Linked DNA regions of Arabidopsis thaliana. The protein of the gene in region 3 interacts with the protein of the main gene of each other region in a pairwise test. Each region holds a gene or a part of one and is shown on either strand. Other genes may lie near its edges.

Evidence for each region.
Region 1: the proteins of AT1G53800 (region 3) and AT4G39050 interact in a two-hybrid assay, tested with the Arabidopsis thaliana proteins (one large-scale study listed by BioGRID).
Region 2: the proteins of AT1G53800 (region 3) and KLCR1 interact in a two-hybrid assay, tested with the Arabidopsis thaliana proteins (one large-scale study listed by BioGRID).

The regions. Positions count from the first base shown.
Region 1 is NC_003075.7:18,191,456-18,195,211, forward strand, and holds the start of AT4G39050 (Kinesin motor family protein), read left to right. Parts: upstream 1-1,619; 5' UTR 1,620-2,006; coding exon 2,007-2,332; intron 2,333-2,460; coding exon 2,461-2,558; intron 2,559-2,640; coding exon 2,641-2,730; intron 2,731-2,864; coding exon 2,865-2,917; intron 2,918-3,291; coding exon 3,292-3,357; intron 3,358-3,454; coding exon 3,455-3,508; intron 3,509-3,730; coding exon 3,731-3,756.
Region 2 is NC_003075.7:6,654,299-6,658,054, forward strand, and holds the start of KLCR1 (Tetratricopeptide repeat (TPR)-like superfamily protein), read left to right. Parts: upstream 1-2,075; 5' UTR 2,076-2,315; coding exon 2,316-3,001; intron 3,002-3,108; coding exon 3,109-3,722; intron 3,723-3,756.
Region 3 is NC_003070.9:20,079,605-20,083,360, forward strand, and holds the start of AT1G53800 (muscle M-line assembly protein), read left to right. Parts: upstream 1-2,039; 5' UTR 2,040-2,283; coding exon 2,284-2,308; intron 2,309-2,563; coding exon 2,564-2,941; intron 2,942-3,038; coding exon 3,039-3,091; exon of another isoform or gene 3,092-3,101; intron 3,102-3,183; coding exon 3,184-3,221; intron 3,222-3,316; coding exon 3,317-3,635; exon of another isoform or gene 3,636-3,651; intron 3,652-3,722; coding exon 3,723-3,756. Other genes in the region: AT1G53790 (F-box and associated interaction domains-containing protein), read right to left, coding at 1-8, 94-1,279, 1,367-1,448, 1,728-1,790.

The DNA.
Region 1 (3,756 bases), on a different chromosome or scaffold from region 3:
TTAAATGAACTACCCCATTAGTTACTTGAAGATGAAACGAAACAATTTGGTTTTGGTCTTTTGGATCATATAGTTAAACGTTATGTATCTTACTCAGTTTATTTTAATGAAGTTTGTTGTTTGGTATATCAATTAGCCTTAGATGTCAAATCAAAACGAAACAAAAACATGAAAATTCAATTTGGCGTTAAATCAAAATAATAATTAATATTCCATGGATAATTAATATACACTTAGCAAATTACCGAAGTACCCTTGCTATCTCGTTGTCGTCAATAATCAAAATTACAGTATTAACCCAATTAAGAGCGTTTAGCGTCTACGTGTAAAGCGGTATCAGGAGAAAGGAGCAGCGATCACATGGGTGGCTTAAATCTATATCCTCCGGTTCCTCACCGGCCAATTATTCTCGCGCGTGTCTCCGCTCCTCTCTGATGCGCGTCACTCAAAAAGTTTGAGTCAAACTCCAGTAATATTTTTGATTTATTTTGTATTTTCAAGAATTTCTTAAAAATTGCTGTTACGTAATTTACAATGCAATGTCTCGCGGTAAAGGTAGAGCCGGAACTCAAGTCAGATCAATCTCCGTGTATGATTGTGTTCGCATCCAATGTTAATAATTTCAGGATTTGTATTTTCCAAGTTAAAGGATACTATTGTTAACTAACGTATATGCTGACAAAAAAAATAAAAAAATAACGAATATTATAAATTTATATCAGTCGCATAATGAAATGTGTAATTTCACCCAGACAAAAATATCTCTACAGAACAAAAAAAAAACGTTTGTTATATATGTTTATTCTGTATATTTAAAATGTAGTCTAACGTTTGTTCTATATGTCTACAATGTGTATTTATATTTAAAACATATTCCATCCTTAATTTGCTTTATATTATTGTTACACCATTCATAGTAATGGAAGAAATATCTATTGGCATTCTATACTTTATGATATATATATATATATGAACCAAAGTATTGTATGTCCAACTGGGACATTTTATATGACGGCGGACGAATAAAGCTTAGCAGATATATATGTACGTGCTGGTAACTCCATATTCATTATTTTGGATTTAAGTTGTAACTCCATACACAATACACATTGATGGATTAGCATTGCATTTTTTTTATGGCATTTTATATCAAAAGATTCTCAATCAAAACTTAGATAGATTCCTAAAGCTTGTAATTAAAGCATCAAACATATTTGTTAACCAGTTATTATTTTTGAAATCGAGTAGTGTTTTGTTGATGCTACATATTATTCCATCATAAAAAGAAAATTAATGTGTGTGTAAGTGTGTTTGAAATAAGTCAATATCTTAGTACAGTAATTAACTAATTATACGAAGAAGAACTATAAGGGTAAAAACGGTAATTACAGTATTTGGTCAGCCATAGTTATTCCCGCTCGTCTCTTGAAAAAAATTCAAACCGGTAAACCATTTTGGTCATACACGTTACAGTAACACGGTGGTCTGGTCTTCAATAATAACCACGTCAGCAGCATACAGTAAAAACTACTTTAAATGTTTTTTTTTATTCTCACCCAAGAAAATAATTTATTTTTGTTTTGTCGTTCTCCTTCCTAAATAATTTTTCAACTACCACAATTAATTTAAAAATTAAAAATAGAGTATATTTGGAAAGGCACAAAAAAAAGAAACAAAATTCAAAATCTGAAATTTCTCAGCCTCCTCGTTTCTTCACCCAGAGGAGAGAGAAATCTGAGGAATTCGATCTTCGCTTAAAGAAGACGAAACAATCTCTCTCTCTTTCTCTCTTCAATGGTCTCACCATCTCTGTCTACCATCTCCTAGCCAAAGAAGAAGACGAGAAGAAGAAGAGAGGGTCACAACAATGCTTTATTCTTCTTATGTCTCCAGCCATGTGAGCTCCCACTGACACATTCTCTGCATCTTCGGAAGTTTTGTTTTGGTTTGATTCTTCTCACCGATTCCTGCGACCGAGTTTGACCCTCGAGTTTCGAGGTTAGTGGATGGCTTCATCCTCATCGAGAACTAGAAGCAGTAGACCTCCAAGTCCCGCTTCTTCCACTTCTTCTTCTCATCTCAGCAACCGTCTCATTCCTCGTTCTAACTCTACCTCTGCTTCCTCATTGATTACCTCCGCCGCCGGAATCGCCTCCCGATCTATGACGCCTAGTCGCACCTTCTCCGACTCGGGCCTTATCGGCTCCGGCAGCTTTGGAATTGGATCGCCTGTTCCCTACCCGTCAGAGGAGCTTCTCGGTGACCCTATGGACGATACTATTAGCTCTGAGCGGGATAGTATCTCCGTCACCGTTCGTTTTCGTCCGTTGAGGTATGCTAGATCTGATCTCGCCATGGACCAGATCTATTGCAGAGATTACAGTTTTCATGTAGATGCAATTGGAGTCAATTCTTTATTGGGGTTTGCAAATTCAAGTTTTTATCTTTGTGGGTTTGCAGTGATAGAGAGTATCAAAGAGGAGATGAAGTTGCTTGGTACCCTGATGGTGATACATTGGTTAGGCACGAGTATAACCCACTCACAGCTTACGCATTTGGTATTTGGTTCACCTCTCAATTATTCTGAATGTTTTCTTGTAATCATTGAGTGAATGTTTTCCAAATTTGTTTTGATGCCAGATAAAGTTTTTGGACCACAGGCAACTACTATTGACGTTTATGATGTAGCTGCGAGACCAGTAGTCAAGGCAGCAATGGAAGGTGTTAACGGTAAGTAACATTGCTGCAAAATTCAGCTTTACCAAAATCTGTATCTTTTATATAGAAATATCCTCTAAACCAATTGGTCCGCAAGTAGTATTGCTTGCAACATATTTTCTGACTCAGGGTTGGAATTTTGACAGGAACCGTTTTTGCTTACGGTGTTACTAGCAGTGGAAAGACACATACAATGCATGTAAGGGTTTTAAAAAAGAAGAATCCTTATACGCCTTTCTCTCTAGTTTTTCTTCAAAACACATGTGCTATGAATTGGGATCTCTTCTTCAACTTGGTCCCCCTTTGGTATCTGCTGGTTATTCTGGGTTACTCTAAACATTTACATGGTAGCAAAAGATACCATACAAATACCAACTTGCCATCATTAATTGGTGATGGTTATGTGAGTTGGAAATCCTCGTATGAATGGAATTTGAAGGTCTTCATTTAGATTGGCTGTGCTTATCTTTAGTGAAGTAGCTACGTTGGGTCTTTAGTTCCCGTCCAAACAAGTAGAACCTAAATCTGATGTTCTTTTTGTTCTGCCATTGGTTGCTTTTGCAATATGCATAGGGTGATCAAGAATCTCCTGGGATCATACCGCTAGCAATAAAAGACGTGTTCAGTATCATCCAGGATGTAAGTGGTCTTAACGGGGTTCATGTCTTTTCTCATCTCATCACGACTTTTTTATATGATTTCATGCTCGCTAACTGGCTACATTTTTATATTTCAGACTCCAGGAAGGGAGTTCCTGCTCCGTGTTTCATATCTTGAAATATACAATGAGGTAAGTGGAACTTTTTATCCTTGATATATTTACTTGGTAATCCCTGAAAAGTAGATATTTTTAGATTGGGATATGTTTTCTAGTTCTTCTGCCTTATCTTTGAGAACTAGAATGCTTAAAAATATAGAGAATTGGGTGACTGTTCATGATCTTCTTGGTTTTACATGTGTGCTTCTATGTTTCAGATATCCGCAGTTTATCTGATAACCGTCTTTGTATCAGGTGATAAATGATTTACTGGATCCAAC
Region 2 (3,756 bases), on a different chromosome or scaffold from region 3:
GTGGCGATGTCGATGCCGGTGTATGCAATGTCTTGCTTCAAATTACCATTGAATATCGTTTCGGAGATTGAAGCTCTTTTAATGAATTTCTGGTGGGAAAAGAATGCAAAAAAAAGAGAAATACCATGGATAGCTTGGAAGAGATTACAATACTCGAAAAAGGAAGGTGGTTTAGGGTTTAGAGATTTGGCTAAATTCAATGACGCTTTACTTGCAAAACAAGTATGGCGGATGATTAACAACCCAAATTCTTTATTTGCCCGAATAATGAAAGCAAGATACTTTAGAGAAGACTCTATTCTGGACGCTAAAAGGCAGAGATATCAATCTTACGGATGGACTTCTATGCTTGCGGGTTTAGATGTAATTAAAAAAGGAAGCAGATTCATTGTCGGAGATGGCAAAACCGTTTGAATCAGTCAAGATAATTTTATTGCATCGCACCCTCCACGACCTCTCAACGTCGTCACTCCTACGTTGGATATCACGGTGGATACGTTAATCTCAACTCAGGGTTCGTATAGGTATTGGAACGCACATCTCATTTCTCAGCTTGTTAGTCCCGACGACCACCGTTTTGTTATGAACCATCATCTTTCCAGGATTGTGCATCAAGATAAGCTAGTTTGGAACTACTCTTCTTCTGGGGATTATACAGTTAAGTCCGGGTACTGGTTTCTCTTTAATGACCCAACGAATATTTAGGTTAGACCAGTGGTGCCTCATGGTTCAGTGGAAATTAAGAACAAGCTTTGGAAACTCCCTATTATTCCAAAAATCAAGTACATGCTTTGGCGTACAATCTCAAAAGCATTACCAACACGCTCGCGACTTCTCACTCGAGGAATGGACATCGATCCACACTGCCCCAGATGCCCAACTGAAGAAGAGACGATAAACCATGTTTTATTTACGTGTCCTTATGCTGCGTCAATTTGGGGTCTATCAAACTTCCCTTGGTTACCGGGTCATACTTTCTCTCAAGACACAGAGGAGAATATTTCTTTCCTTATCAATTCTTTTTCAAACAATACTCTGAATACAGAGCAAAGGTTGGCCCCATTTTGGCTCATATGGAGATTATGGAAAGCACGCAATAATCTTGTGTTTAATAAGTTCAGTGAAAGTTGCTCAAGGGTTGTGACACAAACTGAAGCAGAAGTCAATGAATGGTTACAAAGTGTGAACCGAAGAGAGGACGCTTCCGTTTTAACACGATCATCACACAGGGCAAACGTGCGGTGGAAGAAACCGGTCTTTCCTTTAGTAAAGTGCAACTTCGATGCGGGTTTCACGGGTAATAATACTCAGAGTACGGGAGGGTGGATCATACGTGATCATGCAGGATTAGCGAAGGCTTGGGGATCATCAATAGTCTAAAATGGTACCACTGCTTTGGAAGCTGAGACAAAAGCGTTATTAATCGCAATGCAACAAGCATGGGTACGAGGGTATAAGTGTGTTCAGTTCGAAGGTGATTGTGAGATCCTTATCAAGGCAATTAATGGTGCAATTTCTAGATGTGAAATAACCAGTCTTCTCCGAGATGTGGATTTTTGGGCATCAAGATTTTCTACTGTGGTTTTCACTTTCACAAATAGACTCTGTAATAATACTGCTCACCTCTTAGCTTCTCCACTTTATTCGTGTTACAAGTTTCAATCGAATTCTGGTTATCAGCCACTTTGGCTCAAAAACTCTCTTTGTAAAGATTTACTCATATAAATAAATTCTGTTTGTTGGAAAAAAAGAAAAAAAAAAAACCTACATTCTAAATACTGAAACCATAAACCATATGGTAAAAAGTGGATAAATGCTCAACTATCTCCATTTCAATATACACATCATAAAAAAGATTTATATTCAATTTATTGTAAAATGAAAACTTAGATTGCATTACTTTTTTTAACTCTCTTCTCTAATTTAATTTACTATCTAAATTTGTGAGTTCATAAAATTTTAGATTGAGAACAATTCATCAGAAATTCTGATTCAGAACAGTACAAATCTTGTCATGCAAACTTATCTATCTTGTAAAATCTATCTATCACTTGTCGTCACTAAGTACAAAATCTATTTTAGTTTGTTTTTTTTGTGTGTAAGAAAAGTTTTTTTATTTAATAATCTATCACCAATATTTTCCAACACAACATGACCGTTATCTCCTCCAATCTAAAACTTAATTACGAAACTACCCTTACCTCTTTCACTGACTGACTCGTCTCCTTCTCCACTTGGATCTCAAAAGTCCGATCCAAAACCAAATCCGCCATAACTCTCTCTCTCTCTCCCACTTCCCACAGAGAGACACATTCATGCCAGCAATGCCAGGTCTCGTCTCAGTCAAAACTCCTTCCGATACACCGCCGCTACGTGTAGCCGTACCAGACACGCAACCTCTCTCAAACCCGCCGCGAACTCCGATGAAGAAAACCCCTTCCTCTACACCATCTCGATCCAAACCATCACCAAATAGATCCACCGGCAAAAAAGATTCCCCAACCGTATCCTCCTCCACCGCAGCCGTAATCGACGTCGACGATCCATCTCTAGATAATCCAGATCTCGGTCCTTTCCTTCTAAAATTAGCTCGTGACGCTATTGCTTCTGGTGAAGGTCCTAACAAAGCATTAGATTACGCGATCCGAGCAACTAAGTCCTTTGAGAGATGTTGCGCCGCCGTTGCTCCGCCTATTCCCGGTGGTAGCGATGGTGGACCTGTTCTTGATCTCGCTATGAGCCTTCATGTTCTCGCTGCTATTTACTGTAGTCTCGGCCGATTTGATGAAGCTGTACCACCTCTTGAACGAGCTATTCAAGTCCCTGATCCGACTCGTGGCCCTGACCACTCTCTCGCTGCGTTTTCTGGTCATATGCAACTTGGTGATACGTTGTCTATGCTTGGTCAGATTGATAGATCTATTGCTTGTTATGAAGAAGGTCTTAAGATCCAGATCCAGACTTTGGGTGATACTGATCCACGAGTTGGTGAAACTTGCAGGTTCTCTTAACTAAGCATTTAATGGTTAATTAAACTCTTAGATTACGTTTGCTAAAAGTTACTATATAGGTTAGATCTAAGTTTCTGAAGTCTCTGATAATTTTCAGGTACTTAGCAGAAGCATATGTTCAAGCAATGCAGTTCAATAAAGCGGAAGAGTTATGCAAGAAGACTCTAGAGATTCACCGAGCGCATAGTGAACCTGCTTCACTGGAGGAAGCAGCTGATAGGAGATTGATGGCAATTATCTGCGAGGCTAAAGGAGATTATGAAAACGCTCTTGAGCATCTTGTTCTTGCTAGTATGGCTATGATTGCGAGTGGACAAGAATCTGAGGTTGCATCGATTGATGTTAGTATTGGGAATATTTACATGTCGCTGTGCCGGTTTGATGAAGCTGTGTTTTCATATCAGAAGGCTCTTACTGTGTTTAAGGCTTCTAAAGGAGAGACTCATCCGACGGTTGCGTCAGTGTTTGTTAGATTGGCTGAGCTTTACCATAGAACAGGGAAACTTCGTGAGTCTAAGTCTTACTGTGAGAATGCGTTGAGGATATACAATAAGCCGGTGCCTGGGACAACTGTGGAGGAGATTGCTGGTGGATTAACTGAGATTTCTGCTATTTATGAGTCTGTAGATGAACCTGAGGAAGCATTGAAGCTACTTCAGAAGTCTATGAAATTGCTTGAGGATAAGCCAGGACAGCAGAGCGCCATTGCAGGTAAATTTTTTGTCCATACCATGAATGTTCCTTT
Region 3 (3,756 bases):
AGTCAGTCCTTGGAACAAAAGAATGTAAGATAGACACTTATCAACTGAAAGAATAAACTAGACCAAGTATTAAAACAATAGTTGAACACTTACATAAGTTTAAAATTCTCAACATAGCCTAGAGAGGTGTAAACTCTCGTACGTTTGAACATTTCAACATCTTGTATTTGAACTCTTGTGAGACTCTTGCTCTCAAGGTTGAAGTAATAAATGTAAAATGCGTATATTAGACAGTACTGTGACAACACAACTTCACCTCCATCAGTCATTCCAACAATGGCTAACTCCGTATGCTGAACTAAGTTGTTCCACAAAGGAGGCAATGCATAGATACATTTGGTCCATATATTTTTCTCAGCATTTACTAGAACCCAGAACCTAAGACGTTTTGGAGACAAACATGTAAACTGAAGTGCACCTAGTTTACCCTTGTAGTTGATTAGAGTACAAGAGTCATTCATCAACATGAATACATGTATGTTGATAAAGCTAAACTTTTCAGACCTCACATCAAAGCACACTACCATAGAAACCCTTGCCCGCATATCGAACCCAGCTGTATAATACAAAATACCATCTATGCATATTCCATCAGATTTAGGATAATGGGGTTTGCATTGGATTGTTCTCCATAAATGGTTTCCATTCTCCAATGTCAAAACTTGATGCTCATCACACGTATTTGGGATATCATCAGACTTGATGCACAATACCTTTAGCTGTTTGCGGACCGGATCATATCCTAAATAAGGTCTTGTCTCAGTATTAATACTCTTCAGTTCCACTTTGGGTAAGGATACGGACTCTCCCGTGACTGGGTTACAAATTACCATAGTATCTAGATTTCTCTTACCTCGGCGACAGATGAATCCACAAAGAGGAGAACCAATTTCAGAAAAAGAATCTGTGGTATGTTGAACATGATAACGGGTGGGTACAAGAGACGTATTCTCGTTACATGGAATCTGAGGGTGAGGTGAAGAGAAGAAGAACAAATTGCCATCATCATCTTGGAAGGTGAAAAGAAGCAACGGTGGACGAATCGAAGACATAGTCATGAACAACTCCTTGAAATCAGGACGACAAAGTATGGATTCCCAGAGTTTGGATACGCAACGAAACCTAGCTATAGACTTTGCAGGAACTCTCGAAAAGATATCCATGAGGAGATCGATCGGGATATATCTAAAACAGGAAACATAACCCACCTGGAGAGGTTGCCCCTCTTGCATCATTTGCTTACTGAGAGGAGCTAAACCAGTATCAGACTCCTTGATACCTGCAAGTTACCCGTATATGCAATTTAATCATTCGGTAAATAGAAGTCACTAATGAAAGTAACACCACTATCTCAGTGTGCACAAACCACATAGATCGTTGATCTTCTCGGTGAGTTCCTTAATTTCTTTCTCCACTTTCTTGATAGGTGCAGAGTAAGGCACTAACCCCTGCGAAGGATTGAGATTTTAACAAGGTCAGCAAAAAAACATATGGAGACGCAACATATCAAACCAAGTATAACTATGAACGTTTTTTTTTCACTTGGATGACTTATTCAAACAGTGAGGCAGAGTCACCCAAAGCTAGTTAGTCATATAAGCACAAAAATGATCTAAATAGGATCATAAAATAGCAATTAGCTCGAAATTACTCATGAGAAAACATCAAACTGGTTCGCAAAGAAACAAAATACAGCAAAATTTAGGGTTCTAAAAGGGTACACTTACATAAGTCTTGACGAGAGCGATATCATCTTCGTCAAGCGGATCGTCTACAATATCTCTCACCATTTTTTTTTTTTTTTTCGGATTTTGATCGGAGATTTGAGATGTGAGAAGAAGAAATCGAATTACACCAACAAGAGTACCAACTTTGTCCGAGTTATTAAGGTCTAGTAAGTAAGGGCCACGTTAGGTGCCTTGTTGGAGAGGCCAGAGAAAATAATACCACGTGTGAATTGGGCTATGAAACGCGGCCCATTAGCCCAATATGCAGTGATCCGGGTCGGGTCATTAGAGCGAGCCGGGTCTCGTTATCCATCGCCTCCCTGGTTGCTGCGTCAAAGCCAGACACAAGTATCTTCGTTGAAATTTGCTTTTTGTGTGGCTTATCCTTGTCTGTCAAATTCCTGCAAAAACTCTCGCCTCTCTCAGACAGTAAGAGGAACATATTTCCTTAATGTATTGTTCCGTATAATCTTACAAGACATCCTGGTTGGTGTTGCAGAGAAGAGTGTTTCAAAGTTTCTTCCTTTTTCGTTTTCCTGGTCTGAATGAGCTCCCAATGCCTTCTTTAGGTACCTTTTCTGGTAAAGTTTCCAGATATTTACCTCTTAATTTTCTGGGTTTGTGTTTGGTTACTGTTTAGAATTCTACTTCAGTATTGAGACTCTCTTTCTTCTCAATTTTGTTTCTTTTCTATTGGATTTCATCATTCTTGAGTATCAATTATTTGCATTTGCAATCTTGGTCTAAATGCGTATAAGAAAAGACTAGTGATTCGCACAGTATCTAGAGAATGTTTACTAGCTAATGGAGATGACTCTTTGGTTTAATCTTTGCAGATATTGCTACTATCCAACCTTCATTTCAAGCTCATCTTGTTCCATTGGGGGCTCAGAGTATTATCCATGCTAAAAGTCTACCTAATCCATGGAGACAGTCTTGTTTCTCCAAGAATTTGAAATTTTACACGGGTCATAGTCATGTCCGAAGAGGAAAAGTTCTTATTACTGCAGTGGCCACTCTTGAAACCAAGTATCCGGCTCAAAAAGAAAACGAACGGAGCTCTTCTTTGTCTTCTGCTTCTTCGAAATCCTCAAATGGAAGTGCTGATGATGGCGAAGAACAAGTGGATGACAGAGAAAAGTTGAGAAGGATGAGGATTTCTAAGGCAAATAGAGGGAACACTCCTTGGAACAAAGGCAGGAAGCATAGTCCAGGTGAGTAGTTTTTGCTTATTCGTATCTTCAGCAATCTATCTTCAGTTGCTTCTAATTGGAAACATTTCATAATCTTTTTTCTTTTGCGTTTATGCAGAGACCCTACAGAAGATTAGAGAAAGGACAAAGATTGCAATGCAAGACCCAAAGGTGATGTCATGTAAGAATGGTTCTATATGTTTGCTCTATGCATCAGAATTTTCAACCCCTCATAGAACCTTTGTGTCTTTGTCCTTGTGCAGATCAAGATGAAATTAGCGAATCTTGGGCACGCACAAAAGTCAGTACCGGTTTTTCGTTTGCTTTTAAACCTGTTGGAGCTTTTGGTTTTTGTTATCATAATACTATCTTCCCAAATTTGCATGATTTTTACAGCAAGGAGACACGGATGAAGATTGGAGAGGGAGTGCGGATGCGATGGGCAAGGAGGAAGGAGAGGAGAAAAGTGCAGGAGACATGTCATTTCGAGTGGCAAAACTTGTTAGCGGAGGCTGCTAAACAAGGATATACAGACGAAGAAGAGCTTCAGTGGGATTCTTACAACATCTTGGATCAACAGAATCAACTGGAATGGCTGGAAAGTGTTGAGCAGAGGAAAGCCATTAAAGGAGCTAAAAGTAACAGAAGAGCGCCAAAATCTCCTGAACAAAGAAGGAGAATTGCAGAAGCAATAGCTGCTAAATGGGCTGATCCAGTAAGTTGTCTAGTCACTTGATCAAATCAAACTTGTTTGATGTTTTGTTCTTGGTCATATTTAACTCAGTTTGCTTTCTCTTATCAGTCTTACCGTGAAAGAGTTTGCTCCGGCTTGGCAA